4 linked regions of the Cricetulus griseus genome follow. The protein of the gene in region 1 interacts with the protein of each later gene in a pairwise test. Links are inferred from orthologs where the notes say so. Each region holds a gene or a part of one and is shown on either strand. Other genes may lie near its edges. The genes, in order: Mid2, Utp25, Syt17 and homeobox protein Hox-B9.

The links.
Region 2: the proteins of Mid2 (region 1) and Utp25 interact in binary tests that used the Homo sapiens proteins (3 or more experiments, as listed by UniProt). The link is inferred for Cricetulus griseus from reciprocal best matches to the Homo sapiens genes MID2 and UTP25.
Region 3: the proteins of Mid2 (region 1) and Syt17 interact in binary tests that used the Homo sapiens proteins (3 or more experiments, as listed by UniProt). The two-hybrid records come from large-scale screens. The link is inferred for Cricetulus griseus from reciprocal best matches to the Homo sapiens genes MID2 and SYT17.
Region 4: the proteins of Mid2 (region 1) and homeobox protein Hox-B9 interact in binary tests that used the Homo sapiens proteins (3 or more experiments, as listed by UniProt). The two-hybrid records come from large-scale screens. The link is inferred for Cricetulus griseus from reciprocal best matches to the Homo sapiens genes MID2 and HOXB9.

The regions. Positions count from the first base shown.
Region 1 is NC_048604.1:39,661,738-39,665,776, forward strand, and holds the start of Mid2 (probable E3 ubiquitin-protein ligase MID2), read right to left. Parts: upstream 2,813-4,039; 5' UTR 2,316-2,812; coding exon 2,312-2,315; intron 1-2,311. UniProt on the Homo sapiens protein: E3 ubiquitin ligase that plays a role in microtubule stabilization. Mediates the 'Lys-48'-linked polyubiquitination of LRRK2 to drive its localization to microtubules and its proteasomal degradation in neurons.
Region 2 is NC_048598.1:2,106,756-2,110,316, reverse strand, and holds part of Utp25 (digestive organ expansion factor homolog), read right to left. Parts: coding exon 3,444-3,561; intron 2,881-3,443; coding exon 2,792-2,880; intron 1,554-2,791; coding exon 1,143-1,553; intron 1-1,142. UniProt on the Homo sapiens protein: Component of the ribosomal small subunit processome for the biogenesis of ribosomes, functions in pre-ribosomal RNA (pre-rRNA) processing. Essential for embryonic development in part through the regulation of p53 pathway.
Region 3 is NC_048596.1:82,172,087-82,176,166, reverse strand, and holds the start of Syt17 (synaptotagmin-17), read right to left. Parts: upstream 2,813-4,080; coding exon 2,798-2,812; intron 1-2,797. UniProt on the Homo sapiens protein: Plays a role in dendrite formation by melanocytes.
Region 4 is NC_048600.1:109,428,796-109,433,067, reverse strand, and holds the start of homeobox protein Hox-B9, read right to left. Parts: upstream 2,812-4,272; coding exon 2,295-2,811; intron 1-2,294. UniProt on the Homo sapiens protein: Sequence-specific transcription factor which is part of a developmental regulatory system that provides cells with specific positional identities on the anterior-posterior axis.

The sequences.
Region 1 (4,039 bases):
TAGTTATGAAAGTAAATAGAAGAGAGAGAGCCCTTCATGGTCCATAACCGCTCTTTCTACTCCACACATTACACTCCCCCGCCCCATCCTAGCCTTGGAGATGGAAGCAGAGTTCAGCATAACACAAATATGAACCCAAAATACTGAGACAAGTCTAGGGCCTCAACACAATCAGCAGAGGCCTCTGTATATTAAAGGTTCTTTAAAAAAATATTGACTCACTGCTGCAAGGTGCTAATCATGCTTGGCTAGCCAGACCTAAAACTATGCCACTTTTTATTGGGCATTAAGTAACTGCCCCCATGTTAGCTAAAAATGGGTGAGGTTGTGTATTCAAATGAGTCTGACTCAGATTGTTAGGTTAGAGTGCAATCAATATGATTTATGACTCGACTTAAAATCATCACCATTACTTTCTATGTCTAATTGTGTATGTTTCCATTCAGCTACACATACATTTGGTGAAACAAATTGACTTAAGATCTAAATTACAATAATGATTTGGATCCCAGGGGGACTAATAATGGCAAATTAAGGTTTCTGTAAATTAGTGTTCCCATTTATACCCAGTCAACCCAGTAACCCAATAAAGGATAAATGAAGTGCTTTCATTGAAAAATATAATGCTGAGGTTTATAGAATCCTTTTATCTTCAAAGGACCAAGCCAATACTCACAATACCCAGTGCATAATATTATGCCTTTTATGCAAGGGCAGCAACTGTCAAAGAAAGGTCATACAAATGTCTAAAGGCCATAAAGCCAATGCAACATCACATTTGCAATGGACTCTCTGATCTTGGCTCCAAGACTTGTGTTTCAACCACATGAATCAAGTTTTGTAAGGAACAATCAAGAGAAATTTAATTCACATTATGAGTCTGTATTAAGTTAATTGAGCAGGAATATATAAAAATAACAAAAACTGACTCTCCCTCAGGGCAGTGATGAGTGGGGAGGTAAAAAGGTGTGTGTGTGTGGTGAGGTGCTAAGCCAGGGTATAGCAGAGGCTCCATAAGCAGAAGTGAGAAATATAAACTCTCTATTTGGCAACCCCTTCTCCTGTTGGAATTCTGTCAGAGTTGATTCGATTTCGGAGAGGAAGTAGAATCGAATTAAAGTCAGCCCTTATGGTCCAATTTGAAAATCGGATTAATTAATCCCCACACAACAGTTGTCTATTATTACAATTTCCAGGGTTTTCCTTCATAAATACTCCCCCTCGGAGACACACAACTGCCATTCACCGGCCCCACCCTACAAAATCTTCCAAAAAAGAAAAAAAGCAAAGTGATTGAAAAGCAAGAAGGTGCGTTGCTGGATGATGTGCACAGGTTGGTAGAGAAAAGCCGAGAGTGCGGGGACTCTGGGGAGAGACGTGGGTGGACAAATGTTGTGAGGCAGGAATAAGAGGCATACTAGTGTCAGTGCATAAGGAGTGCCAAGAGAGTGGAAAGTGAGGAGTCCCATCATCTCAGGATCCTAATTGCCTGCTCGAAATAGAAATGCCTCCAAACTAAATAAATAAATAATGTGCTGCACGTGAAGTGCGAAATAACCTAAGCCAGCTCATGGCCAGTAGTGTTACAGTAAATCTGCCTGCCGTTACTTAATTCTTACGAGCCCGAAATGGGAAAAGCCTCAAATGTTCCTGCTTCAGTAGCAGTGTGTCCTGTGGACACCCTCAAGTTTTCCTTCTCCCCCCCCCCCCCACGGCGCTGCTTTCACAGCTAGGCCAGAAATAAGGAACCACCCAGACAGAGACTTGAGGATCCCTTGCTTCCTCCAGCGAAAAGGGGGGATTAAGTTTCTCCCGGGTTCCCGCCGGCTGGGTGTCCGCAGCATCACAGGCTGCTGCGCCAGCACCGCTGAGCAAACCGCCGACCACGGGGCGCCGCCCGGGCCGAGGACGCCGTGGATTGCGGGAGCGTGGGAAGGCGGCTGCGCCCTTTCCCAGACTTGCGCCTGGGCGCCAGGAGAGCCGCTCCACTGCTTTCTCCCGGCTGGGCCTGGCCAAGCGGGAGGCCTCGGGCCGTTCCCCGCCTGGGATCCAGGAGTGCAAACTCCTTCGCACGAGGGCAGTGGCAGGAACCCGGGTCACCACAGTGTGACAGACACCGCGGGCCCCGCTACTGCCGCCTGGAGCCTCGCGGACCCTGTCTCCCCCCCTCCCCTTCCCGCCGAGCCCGGGTATCCTCGGCCAACGCTGGCACCTGAAGAGCAACCGGAGCCGGGGCCGAGCCCTGCGCGGGCGGCGACACTCGACCCCCCCACCCACCCAAGGGCCGCGACGAGGGGACGCATTTTTTTACCCATATTGTTCTCGGGTGCCAGCCATGTCCTACACGCGCCTGGGAGCGTCGGCCGCTCGCTGGCCTCCGCAGCAAGCTGGCTTGGGCTCCCGTGCGAGCTCCCGGGCCGCTGTCGCTGCCGCCGCCGCCACCACCACTCTAGGCCGCCGCCTGCCTTCGCCGCTGCGGCCGCCGCCGCCACCGCCGCGCAGCAGCCGGGATCCGCCAGCCCGCGCGCCCCACAGGGGACAGCACGGAGACCGCGACGTTCCCGCGTCTGGGTCTCCCGGGCGAAACTTGAGAGTTTTCGCCTCTCAGTCCAGAGGCAGCACCATGACACCACCGCAGCACCACACTGTCATTTCCGCCGCCGCAGAGGAAAAAAAAAAAAGCAATCCCTTCGAAAGGAGGGTGGAGTGGGGGCAAGCGGAGCCGAAGCTGACACCCCCAAGGGAGCACTGGGAGGGGCCCGCGCAGAAGGGGCGCTGGGCCACCTTCCTAGGCTCACCTTCCTCCGCCCCCGCCACTCCCAGCTCCCCGTGCCCCTCCTCTGGAGGCGCGCTTACATGTTTTCTCCCCCGGCAGGAGTGACCGGAGAAACCTGAGCAAGCAAAGGCAGCGGGTGGGTGGGGTTCAGATTACTACTGTACCTACCAGCTGATTCCAGCAGCCTTTTCTCCAGCGCCCTGTCATCTTGATGGAAGACACAGGGAAAAGGGGTCTGAGCAGGCGTGTGTGTGTGTGTGTGTGTGTGTGTGTGTGTGTGTGTGTGTGTGTGTGTGTGTGTGTGTGTGTGTGTGTAGTATGCGTGCGTCTGCGAGCGGGTAGTGTGTGTGAAGTGCAGAGGGAAGACTATGGCCAAACTCTTCTCCCACCCACCACCCACTACCTCCACAAACCCCCAGATTAGCAAGGAAAAGGCACCCGCCAATGAGAAGAGTCTGCCTGGAACCTCCGCACAGGTCCTCCTGATGAAGCTGTACTATTGTACTATGCAAAGTTAACTAGAGAGTAAAACTAGAGAGGCATGGAAGAGATAGAGAAGGACAGACAATTGAAGGAAACCCAACCCCTTTCTCTTTTTACAAAGGGAGAGTGGCTGTGTTCTATTGGCCTTGGCCACAAGTTGTTCGGGTGGATTAAAGCCACTGAAAGTGTATGGGGGAGTAAAGGTTTCTTTTGCACCTTCAGACACTTGACAAACAAGACAAGATGGTCATTAACAGAAGGTCAAAGAGGCAGAAGCTAGTCATCCAAGAATGCTAGGTCCCTATTAAGAAGATTGGTCCATTTGGAACCCAGGAGCCTCCCATTGGTCTGGAGTCAGCCTATTTACTATTGACTCAAAGACCACTGCCCCTCTTAAGGTGGATGAGAGAAGGAAGCTGCCCCAGAGGATACTGCTTTAAACTCCACTCAAAAAGAGAGAAGAGGAAAGCAATCACATGAGCCTCCTATTACTGTGCTTGGGAACAAATCCAGAAAAAAAATGAAGGTTGCTGGGTGTGTCTTGTCAGGGAACCAATAGCAGTCACCCAACAGCACTGTTAAACAGTGTGCTAGAGAACTATGGAGTGGAAATGAAGGGGAAAAACCCAACCATGCTACCTTAAGGGAAGTACAGGGCTGAGAGATCTTAAAGTTAATGCGTCATACCCAAAACACAGACAACAAAAGCAAATGACATATGAGACTACATAGCACCTAACACCTACACAATAGAATGCACAATCAACACAGTTGGGAATG
Region 2 (3,561 bases), on another chromosome or scaffold:
TGATGACCCACGCCATCCTAACTCCAGTTCCAGGAGATCTGGTACCCTCTTCTGACTTTCATAGGCACCAGGCATGCATGTGGTAAATACACATACATGCTGGCAGAACACTCATACACATAAAATTAAATAAATCTAAAAATAAATGCAGCAAGTTTCTGCTGAGTAGAAAATCAGAAGATGCTTAGCAAAGAGCTAATTTCTAACTACCCACCATTCTTGTTCAAGTAAGAAACTCAACAGTGTAACTCTAGTCAAACCCGGAGATTCCTATCACAAGTTAGGGCAATCTGCCTGATTCTCCTACAGTGCACAACAGAGACAGACAGCCTCAATGTCATGTCCATGCGCCTGAGGCAGCCTCCTAGAAATGTAACCAGCTGGCCAAAACAGTAAGTAATTTGCCCTGTGCCGGTCCAAGATTTAAAAGGCTAGATTACTGTCCTGTTGGTGACACTAAGTAAGTGTCCACACTTCATTCCCCAGCTATTAAACAAGAGGCCAGACTGAAAAATCCTTTAAAAGCCATAACTGTATCTACTCCCTTGAGACCTGTAGAGCTCAGTAAGCGTCTAAAAGCATGAGCCTCTTCCAGGAGATGGGGGAGCAAGTCAAAGAACAAGGCCTGGCTCCCCTCGAGGCATCACGAAAGACAAGATGAGGACAGAAGTAAATCCATTTCCTTTCTTGATAGAACCTCAAACATGCCAGAGATCAGGCTAAGAGCACAAGCAAACACAGTCATCCCTTTAAGCATTAGGAACGTCACAACAAAAACGGGTGTCTGTGGCTTGGTGAAGAGCCCAATTCTAGTCCATCTCTGTTAACCTTTCCCCCATTCTCTTTAGCTGGACCTTCTGTGAATCTGGGTCTGCCCATAGCTGTCACCTATAAGGACTAAATAAAAAACTCACTAGGGTGCCAGTAAGCCAAAAGTCACCAGGAAGAGACCACCCCCAATGGGGTGCTTAAATAAATGTGTTTCAGGTTCACTGCTGACAGCATCTGAAGCCCCTGCACTGCCTGGCTTGCTCAACAGTTCATATGAGGATTCTCTAACCAGTCAACTGTCCACACGCTCATGACTCAGCAGTGCCTCACAGCCTCCTTGAGGACAAAGCTCTCCTGCTGCCGCCACTCACCTTAGGCCTGGTTAGCCCTTGGTCCCTGAAGTCATCATCCTCACCCACCCCAAGTTTCTGGCTCCGGCGCCTACTGTTGTTAGCTAACACTTGGGCATTCGCTTTGAGGACGTGGTTTATGGCATGCAGGCAGTACACATGGCGGACCTCTTCTCCATTCTTCAGGGCAGTCCGCTCTGGGTAGAACAGGTCCCGGTAAGAATTCATAATTAAGAACAGCTCTTTCTGGAGCGGGGTAAAGGGGCTATTTGATTGTTGAGGACCAGATAGGAATTGGCTATTGGTTTTTTTCCAGGTGGATTCTAGAGGCTTCTGAAGATGAAGTGACTTCATGTCAACATCCTTCGGAGGTTTAAATGTTTCCATCTTCTGGAACTTTGATGAAAAGACAAGCTGTCCCAGGACGGGCCACTAGGGGTAGACAGATTGAGAGCTAAGTTAGGCATGATTAACAACCCGACACTCACAGGGTACTTGATGATTCACAGACTAGCCCGGAGCCTGACTTCATACCTGAGCTCTGTCTCTAGTGTTTCCTTCATATTCTGAGGGTCATGTCTGGGAACAATGAAAATTCCTTGGCAATGTGCTACAGTACAAGGTGTGATACTAAAGGCTCTACTTGTCTCAGTCCTGATCCCTCCCCCCCTCCCCCCCTCCCTCCCTCCCTCCCTTAGTCTCCACTGCTCCCTTTCTCCCTATTCCTTTTTAGATATGCCCAGTCAAGCAATGCTACTTTGTGAGACACATGTTTAGAAATTCTTCACTGTAGAAAACTTGCTGATCTAAAATTACAGCAACTTCAACAACAAAAGAAAGGAGCCACAGACAGCCGAGCAGCCTGGGTGACTCTCCAGGGAGCTGTGCTGAATGAAGCAGCTGGTGGCTAAAGTCCCACCCTGGGTGACTCCAGTTACTCAACTGTGAACTGACGAGCTCCCAGAAACAGAGATGAGCTCAGGAGGTTAAGGATTTAGGAGTGAGGAATGTGAACGGAAGTGTGTAAGGTAAAAAGGAGCAACAGAGCCAGGCATGGTGGCGCACACCTTCAATCCCAGTACTGGGGAGGCAGAGGTAGACAGATCTCTTCTGGTGATTTGAGGCCAGCCTGGTCTACATACCAAGTTCCAGGCCTGCCAGGACTACATAGTGAGACCCAGTTGATAAGACACACAGTGCTGGTGTTCCACACCCTACTGCGCTAGTGGAAATGAGATCCTATAAGAAGTACAACACTGTACACAGGACCCGAGTCCAGGGATGCAAGGCCAGGGTAAGCAGAGTACTTAGCCCTGCATGCATGAGTTAGTTCCAAGCAGCAATAAATGGCATCTATGTCCACTTTCTGGTTGTGATACTGTACTGTACTCTGCTATCTGCTACCGGTTGTGTGTGTATGTGTGTGTGTGTGGGTGTGTGTTACACCTGCACATGTATCTGCAAAGTCAAAAAAAGGGAAAGTGAAGTAGACCTTGTATGGCATCACATCCATAAATAACCCCAACACTTGGGAGGCTGAGGCCAGAGGAGAGACACAAGCCCAACGTCTGACAAAATGAAACTCCCTATGAATAATATATGCCAATAAACCAAAGACCACAGTTTCTTCGGGGTTTCCCTCCGTGCCTGGAAAACCAAACAGCACTTACTTTTAGTTGCTGGGTAGTTGGAGGGCTTGAAGTGGCAGCTTGGACCTCCTTTTCTTTCAGTTCTTTGTTGACATGTTGTTGAAATGGATCTAATTCAGAACAGAGCAGTGAGCACAGGGAACAATGCAGGGCTTTCTAGTCTGAGAGTGATGGACTCGTGTCCCATCACCTCTGAAAATGACACGTTCACCTCTAGTCCCTGATGAGACCAACATGCTGATCTTCCTGGCAACGAAAGCTTAGTAAAGAGCGCCTGGCAAGCTGAACACAACATCCCAGCCTGAAGCCTCACCTCAAGTTCAAGCCTTGGCCGCTGCACTTGAACCCATCTCTTCTGTGATTTCTGAACTACACAGCCGAAAGTTCTGCTTCTGAGTCTTTCCCTTTACACCAAAAATCCTCTCACCTGCATGCTACTCCTTCACAGAAAGGTGCCTTGTGGGGGTCGACCGTGCCAGGCACAGCACTGGCTCCAGGCAGAGGTTAGAGCTGGCTCCCCTTTGACATCACATTCTAGTCCTTACCATGCCACACCAATTCAAACAAGCCAGCACAAGTTCCTGTCCATCTGGCACATGGCAAGATTCCTGAGGGCAGGCTCCATGCGTTCTGCACAGCAAAGGAAGGCTGGGGCAAGATGAGCCACTCTCACCTTGGGACGTTCTCTGGGAGGAGCTGCTGCCTCCACTGTCCTCTTCCAGAAAATTGGTTTCCAGGCTGAACAGGGACTCGTGTTTTGCATCTGTGAACTCCTCCGAGGATTTCTGTGA
Region 3 (4,080 bases), on another chromosome or scaffold:
GCTTCTGAGACAAGGTTATGCCTCCTGGGCATCAAGAACCACCCTGGCAAGTTCAAGCCATAAAAACTCTGCCCTCATGGGGCTGGCATGAGAAACGGCTTGAAGATGTTTGCTATAAATTGAGCATAGACCCATCATCCTGGCCTCAGGAGGCTGAGGAAGGGGGGTGGTGAAGGGAGGCCAGCTTGGACTACACAGCAAGACCTTGTCTAAAAAGAAAAAAAAAAAAGCCAAACAAACAACTGAGGGCTGGTAAGACAGTTCTGTAGGTAAAGGTGCTTGCCAGCCATCAAACCCAATGACCTGGGTTAAATCCCAAGGACCCACATGGTGGAAGGAGAGAAGTGACTCCCAGAGCTGTTTTCTCACTGTCACACATGCCCTGAGATGTGCAGTCCTCCCTAGTCCTCCAGGTTCCCCCAGTCACCACAAAATGAAAAGTTTAATGCAAAACAATGCTTTCCAAGCACCTGTGGCATCCTAGCAATGTACAGGTGTGTTCTCAGGGCCTTTTATATAGCCATGGCGAGAAGAAAAGGTGCCAGAGGAATGCACAGTTTCTCAAAGCCCAGGTAAGACATGGTGGCCCAGGAGCAACCCACGACAGGGGCAAAGGGAATGGGAAAGGAGGCCCGCAGTCAGGGCCTCATCCTGCCTCACTCCATCCTCTGGGCTCACTCTTCTGATACCAGTGGAGAACTGATTCCCACCAGGAAGCATAAAGAGAAAACCCCAGGCATGGCACACAGAGGTCAGCAGACTCCCGGCTCACAGCCCCATGGTGGGCCACTACCCAGTCCTCAAGCAAAGGATTCCTGTTTTGTTTGGTTTTTGGTTTTTCAAGACAGTGTTTCTCTGTGTGTCAACTGGCTGTCCTGAAACTATCTCTGTAGACCAGGCTGGCCTGAACTCACAGAGATCCACCTACCTCTGCCTCCAGAGTGCTGGGAATAAAAGCGTTGGCAACCACGACCCAGTGGATTTGTGTATTTTTTTAAATGGCTGCAAAACATCACAGACGACTATTTCCTGACTTTCAGAAAGTCTCTGAAACTCATTGACCAAAACAAATAAGCTTTGTGGGTTCATAGCCATGCCCACTCTGACCTCCCTCTGTGCTTGCCTTAGTACTGTTTTCCCTATTGAAAAGTTGAGGCAGAAGAAAAAAAATTAGTCTCTGTGTTCTGTAGAAGTTCAAAGACTGCTTCTAAGAGGGAAGCAGAACCATTGAGATGCACAACTTATACATCCCCTCCTAGCCTACAGTTCAGATACCACTGTGACTGCTAAATAGCTGTGTGACCTTGACAAGTGACTTTACTTCTCTGTGCTGAAATATGGTTTTAGGTAGCTGAGCAGTGAGTGACCTACCACTGTAATCCCAGCACTCAGAAGACAGCGGCAGGAGAATCACAAGGCTAACCTGGCTATATAGTGAGAGCCTGTCTCAGAAAAAGAAAATGTATTAATTCGATGAAGAACCATAAAAACTTGTTTCACTGTTCTCTGCTCACTCCCTTGGACATCAGAGGGGAAGGGACTGTGACCTATGTCCTCAGGGATGTTCCATAATTGCTGTCATTCTGGTGTCGTTAAGCAACTATTGAACAGTATTCCAACAACTTCCAAGACACAGTAGATGTACAGTAAATGTGACCTTCATTGAACTTGAAATCAGGACCTAGGCAATCCATGAAAAATTTGCAAACCATTCCTGGGGATCAAAGCCAGAGGAGGACCTGGTGGTCAAGTTCCACCAGGTGACAGACCATTGGAGGAGCTGGGGACAAGAGATCAGGAGAGCCCTAGAGGGTCTGCAGTCGTCCCCCGCCCCCCGCCCCCCCCGCCCTCCGCCCCCAGCTAAGGCTGGGAGAGGGAAGATGAGTCCCTGGACCTGGGATCCAGTCTGCTGGCTTCCTCTCTGGCTAAGAGCAGGCAGCCCTAGAACCCCCCGCAGCTCCTGGTATCTATTTACTGGTCTGACCGCGTGACCTTGGCGATGACCTGTCACCACTTTGCAATTTGCAAAAGAAACGGTTTTCTTTGCCAAGCAGAACAGTCCATCCCCATCCGCCCCCTCCAAAGGTGTGTGTGTGGGGGGGAGATAGGGGGTACTTGGAAATTCTCTCCGTCTGAGTCTTGGGGGTGGTCTCTGTGTGTGTGTGTGTGTGTGTGTGTGTGTGTGTGTGTGTGTGTGTGTGTGTGTGTGTGTGTGTGGTGTGTGTATGTGTGTCTGCACTTCTCAGACCTCAATGGACTGAAGTAACTGTCTCCACAGCCCTCATCAGAGGGCACTGGTCTCTGGATGTCCCCACCCCTCTGCACCCAGTGCCGGGGCGAACGATGTCCTTGTCCCTCCAGGTCTGAACAGCTGCCTCCAGCTGGCTCCACCGGCCAATTAGCCGGAGCCGTCACCACGGCAACGGGCGCTGGCGGGCCGGGTGGCTGGCGCGCCCCGGGCCGCCCTCCCGCGGCCCCTCCCCTGGGGTGGGTGCTGGGGGGACGGGGGGGCGTGCAAAGTCACCCTACGGTCTCCCCTTCCAAGGAGACGAGTGCGAGGATGCAGGCCCCACGCAGGGCCCTCCATATCGGGTCTGTGGTCCCCTGCCCAGGCTCCAGGACACGCACAGGTGCCTGCTCTGGGGAACCCGTTGTTTTGTTGTTTTTTGTGGGTTTTTTTTTTTCCTCCAGTAAGTTTGTGGGAGCCGGCGGGTGCGCACTCCTGCGTCGCGCGCTCCCGGCAGAGGGGGCGCGGTCCCCACTATCCCCTGGCGGTCGCCCCCAGCCACAGTCCTACCTGGATGTACGCCATCTTCGCCCGCGCTCACTCACTCCGGCCCGGGCATGGCGTCGCCACAGCCCCTTTGCCCTCGCCGGCCCGGCGAGGTGGCACAGCCAGCCGGCAAGACACCAGTGGGCGGCCGGGTGGCCCCAGACGTGACTGGCGTGACTGATGAGCGGTGCCCGCCCCTCCACCGGCCGCCCCGTCCTTGCCCAGCTCTGCGGGGCCGCCTCCCTGGAGCGCAGAACCGGGATGCCCCGAGGTCCCCGGCTTCAGCTTCTGGTGGACCAGCACCCACACCCACACCTTGGGGCGCTCCCGGGTTGCAATGAAGCGGGCTCCTGGCCAGGAAGTCCCGGGCGAGCCGCGGGAACTGCGGCGACCCCGGAGCAGGCGGGGCTGGCGACGCTGGGGCCCAAGCGCGGGAGGCGGGGGAGGGGATGGGGACCGCGAAGGGGTGGGCGGAGGCGGTGCCCCGGTCAGCGCCGCCGGCAGGCACTAGAGTGGTACCGATCCACTGCCTGATCGACAGCAGGGCTTCCGGGGCGCCTGAGAGGCTGAGGTGACACCGCGCAGCACACTGTGGGGTCTGGAGTTGGAAGGTCCGCTTCATCCTTCCCTCTCCCCAAGCTGCTTGGCTAAAGTTTTATGCCAGCCGCACACGACGCGCCTAGAACCGGGCTGGGGAGTGTGTAGAAGCTGAATGGCAGGCGCCACCTATTTAAGGTGGACCTGGCAGTCCCCAGGACAGTGCTGAGGCAGGGGAACTGTTATCCTCGCTCGGCTCTGTGTGGGACCCTTTACCCTAACCATCTCGGCTGGAGCCCAGGACGCAACAGGTCTGGGGCAGGGCGGCCGCGCAGCGCCACCCAGCGTCCGGCTGCGCCCGGGGCGTGACGGCTCGAGGGCAACTGGGATCCCAGTGTCCAGGACCTGTCGCTGCCGGTCTGCTTCGCCTGCCAGCCCGCGGGGCTGAACCCCAGCACTGGAAGATTGCCAGCACATCTCCCAGCCCAGGGTCTCCGCTGCAAGGCCACTGAGGTTGGTGCAAGCCTCCCGCTAGGGATTTGAGGTAGAACGGGGCCCTCCTCGAGTTTCTATTTTCCATCACTGGCAGCTGGTGTCGCTGCTCACCAACTCATCGAGTTGTCATTTCAACCTCTTGGCGTCCCGATCTTTTCACCAATAAAAATGGGATCAAATTTCTGCCCAGCCTAGCCTCCAGGGGAGATAAATGAGTAAAGGAATATGGAAGTAATTAAGTATGTAATGCACACAAGGAAAAATCTAGCATTTGG
Region 4 (4,272 bases), on another chromosome or scaffold:
CTACCAGAGCATCTCCAAAGCTTCCACTGCCCCAGGCAGGCTCACAGCCTTTTTCTACTTGTATCCAAACAAACCTGGACTCAGGTCAGTATAGCTGAAGCCACACTACCGGCTAAAAGTGGCTGACCTTGGCTCTAGGTCTGGGAGGAAAGGGGAAGAATTGGGTTGACAAGGGAGTCCTGTTCAGCCACAGCCAAGAGATCTCTTGGCCCTTCAGCTCAGTCCCAGGAAACCCTGCCCAGATAGCCATCTCTCAGCTCTAGGCCAGGAGGCAGCAGACATGTGAGTTCTGAATAGATACCCCCTCCCCATCGCACACCACAAATAAGAGTTCACATTTACAGCCAGGAACACCCAGCACACTCCCAACTCACAAGAAACCCAATTGCAACCATTTATCAATTGCAGCCAGTGGACAGGGGAGCCCCGGGGCTCCCAGATAACTTATGGTGGCAATAGCCTCTTCCTTTCTGCTGCTCAGCTCAGAGTTCGGTTAACACAAGTTCAGGGAAACTGGGAAGCAAAATTGCTCCAGCCCCAAGGTGGGGAGACAGAGCTGAGGAGGAGTAACAGAAAGTCCTTTAGGCTTAACAAGCCTTCTAACTGACCCTGAGGGGAGACAAGAGAAGAGGGGCAAAATCAGGAAATAATGTATACAGGCTTTTCTTTTTTCTCTTTCGCATCTCTCCCTGGACCCCAGGACACAGAAAAGTTGCTCCCCAAAAGCGGAGCCTATTACAAGTAAGATCCCCCTCTACCAGCTTCTCCCTCCCCAAGTGAAAAGCCCTGAATGTCTGTGTGTATTTTAAAATTCAGTTCATCCTACACTAAGTAGCGTGTCTTACCAATTTGCAGCGCTATTTTCTTAATGTGATTGCCTGGGATGGGACCCGAAGCCACATTAAATATGAAAGAGGGGGGGAAACTGTTAATAATTGATCCTAGCCAAACGGCTGCTGTGCAATAATGGGCTTTCCAGGCCGAGTTTGGGGCCATGGGGTGAGGGCTCTGTTTGGGTGTTTGCAGGAGGTTTGGGAAGAGCTGTGTTCCCGGATATCAGCTCCTAATGACTCAACCTGGCAGGTTGGAGGTATGGGGATTGCAAAGGCCTGGGGCGGGGAGGGGGGTGCAGAGTCTCTCCTTACTTTTCAGAGGGCAAGCATGCCCCCAGAGGACCCATTGGCTACTCTTTTGGTGGGAAATCTGACAAGGCAAGCAAGAACTAAACTACTTGTCCAAAGGAGTAAGTGGTGAGGAGTTGACCTGTCAATCTGTCCATAATTGTTTGGGAACTAAGAGCCCCCAACCGGTTTGTTTTTCCCACCTTTAAAAAAACGACAAGTAAAAGAATCCTCTCAGCCAGCATCGCTTTCCGCACGGGGTTTTTAGCAAGGGTGCTTTTAGGAATGGGAGGTGGTAAGAAACTCTCCGCTAAGGGTAGAGTTCTCCGCCCCTGCGCAGTCTCCCCCCACCCCTCCCCCGGGTCCCTTCGGGACGTCTTCTTTTCCATTCTGGAGGTGGGCCCTGACTTTAGCAAGTGATTCCCAGACTCTCTGAGAGGCAGACTGTCCCCGGCTAGTGCTCCAGAGCCCCGCGGAGGGGGTTGGGAAACGCAGAGGCAGAAGCGGCCACCCTGGCGAGGATGCCCTAGGAGGGCGGGGGATCCTGGAAGGAAGGCTCCCGGGGAGGGGCCGGCGCACCCGGGAGGGGGCTCGGTCACCGCATCCTGGGCTTCCCCCGCCCCTCCCGGCGCCGGCTGCCGACCCGACACGGCTACTGCGTGAGATCTGCTAGGAACAATCCTCAGCCAAGCTGTTGCATCGCAAATAAAATCCTAATGAGCCCCCTCCCCCTTCCCCTTGGCCGGCGGGGACCGTCTGCGCGTGGCTCAGGCGGCTCTGCCGGGTGCGCTCCGGCCCGTGCCCGCGAGGGCTCTGGGCCACGCTGGCCACCGGCCCGGCCCCCTCGCTCCTCAAGCAACTGTCGCAGCTCTCTTTCCCCCTTTCCAGCCGAAGGGGGAGAAAGGAGGAAGGACTAGAGGATTGATCCCTGAGGCTCAGTCCAGGCGCCACTAGGAGGAGTAGGGGTGGCCTCCTTGTCCCCCTCCATGGCACACAGCTTCTTCCTACCCAGGTCCCTTCCTTCCTCTTCCTCCACCCCCTCTAGCCCTGCAGCCCCCGGCGCGCTGTCCCTCCACATTGTCCGCTTTATGGCTTCTCTCCTCCCCTCCCCCGGGCCTGGCCTGCAGCCTGGGGGGGGATTTCCTCACTTTTTTTTTTTTTTTTATAACTTACTTTGATCCGGCCTCTCTTTGTCCTCGCTTCCTTCGCAAATTTTATTGTCCCCGTAGCCGGCTCTTTGATTAGACAGGACAGCCTCCCTGCCCGCCGAAGTTTCCAAACTGTACTCGGGCGTGCCCTGTTTGAGCAGCTCCCCCGGCGCGCCCAGCAGCGGCTCCGCCTTCACCGCCGCCTGGCCCTGCCCCGGGGTGGCCTCGGCGCGCGGCGCCGGCTCCAGCCAGGTGCGGAGGTACCTGCTCTCTGCCGCCGGCGCGCCCTGGGGCTGCAGGTAGGGGTGGTAGACGGACGGCAGGCTCCCCGACGCGTGCGGGCTCAGCGGCGCCCAGGAGGCGCCGAACACCGGCGCTTTGGGCTGGAAGCTGCACGAGGGGAAGTCCAGGTGCTCGGCGTGGCTCGGCTGCCGCGGGTTCGCGTACTGGCCTGAAGGAAACTTGGCTGGAGGCGCGTCCTCACTCTCGTGACTTATGATCGAGTCGACATAATAGCTGCTAAGCGTCCCAGAAATGGACATTCTCAGACATTATCCGCGCGCTCGCAGGGGGAAGGGAAGCGCTCGCGCCTCGGCGCCCAAGCAGGGAGAGGTGGCACACGGACCCGGTGTAGAGGGCTTTCGGACGCGACCCCCCCAGACCCCCACCCTCCCACCCCACCCCCTGCTCAACTTCTCAGCCAACAAAGTACAGTGGAGCAGCCCGGCTCGGAGCTCCTTGCAAAATGATTGGTCAAAGTTTTGCGGACTGCCTGATAAAGCGTCAGCTCCGACATAAATCAATCGGGCGAGGGGGCTGCGCTCGCGCTGTCATCCGTCCTCACCGCATTCCATATCCAGGATGGATTGTTTTATGCTGATGCAATGTGCTATCACGTCAGGGCTCCGGCGGCCACGTAACCTCAGCCAGAGCTGCCGGGCCGCCCGGGGCCCCTCCCGCTTTTGCAGGAAGGGGGGTTCTCAACATGGGGCGATGGGGGCGGAGGAGAGGCGGAGGCAAGCAGCGGGCTTGCCTCTGGAGGGATGATGGCTGCGGAGCCCTCTCCCCAGGCGGGTTAGAAAGGGAGGGGAGGAGGACCAGCATACTGGGAGAGAGAGCGCCCCAGCCTCAGAGCAGCGGGAGAGGCCCGACAGGGTAATTAAAGAGGAGGTAGTCTTGTCATCCCCCAACACCTCCACCTCCACCCCGCAGGCCCTCATTTCCTGTCCTCTGTCCCCTTGACAGAGATGTTTATTAAACAACAGCAGCACAGCGACCCACAGGAGAGAAAGTAAAGGGGTGGGGAAGAAGTTGGGGGTTTTATAGGACAGTTATCCTCTTTGGAGGGGAATCAGGGCACAATTTGGGGAGATTTACATGACTAGGCTCTTCTCTTGATCCTCCAGGAGCTCAGGGAGGAGAAAGGGAATTTCAGTGGAACCAATGTCCAAAGACTCACTATCTGGCCTGAAATTAGAGCCTGCCTCAGGCCAAAGGGACTAGCCAGACCCCGTAGCTAGTCTACGAAAGAGTTTCACGGGACTAACCAGTCTTATTTAACTCCCTGACATTTCTTGGGCCTTTATGAAGGGTTGGGTCCACGGCCATTTCTTCTGTCCTTCGTCCAGAATCCTCTGAGACCGTAAAACTGTCCAGATGAGGAGGCCAATGTGAGAAATGATTAAAGGAGCTCTCCAGAGGTAGGGAGAGGGTCCCCAAACAGCACAGTAAGCGACACCCGGTTACTTTCCTTTTCCATCCAAAAAGGGAAGGAGGCAAGCTAAATTCTTAGTACTTGTCCAGCTCTGGAAGATGTCCAAATGCCGACATAGGGCAGTACCAAGTACAGCGGAGTCCCCAGAACCAGTCCGTGTCCCCCACCCGCAGCCTTCCCCCCTACAATCCTCTGGTGGAGCTTCCAAATAGTGCATTTTATTAGCAGCTATTCTGCGGCCCTGCGGCCCTGCGCAGGGACTCCCCCGAGGCCACAGGCTGGCTTCCTG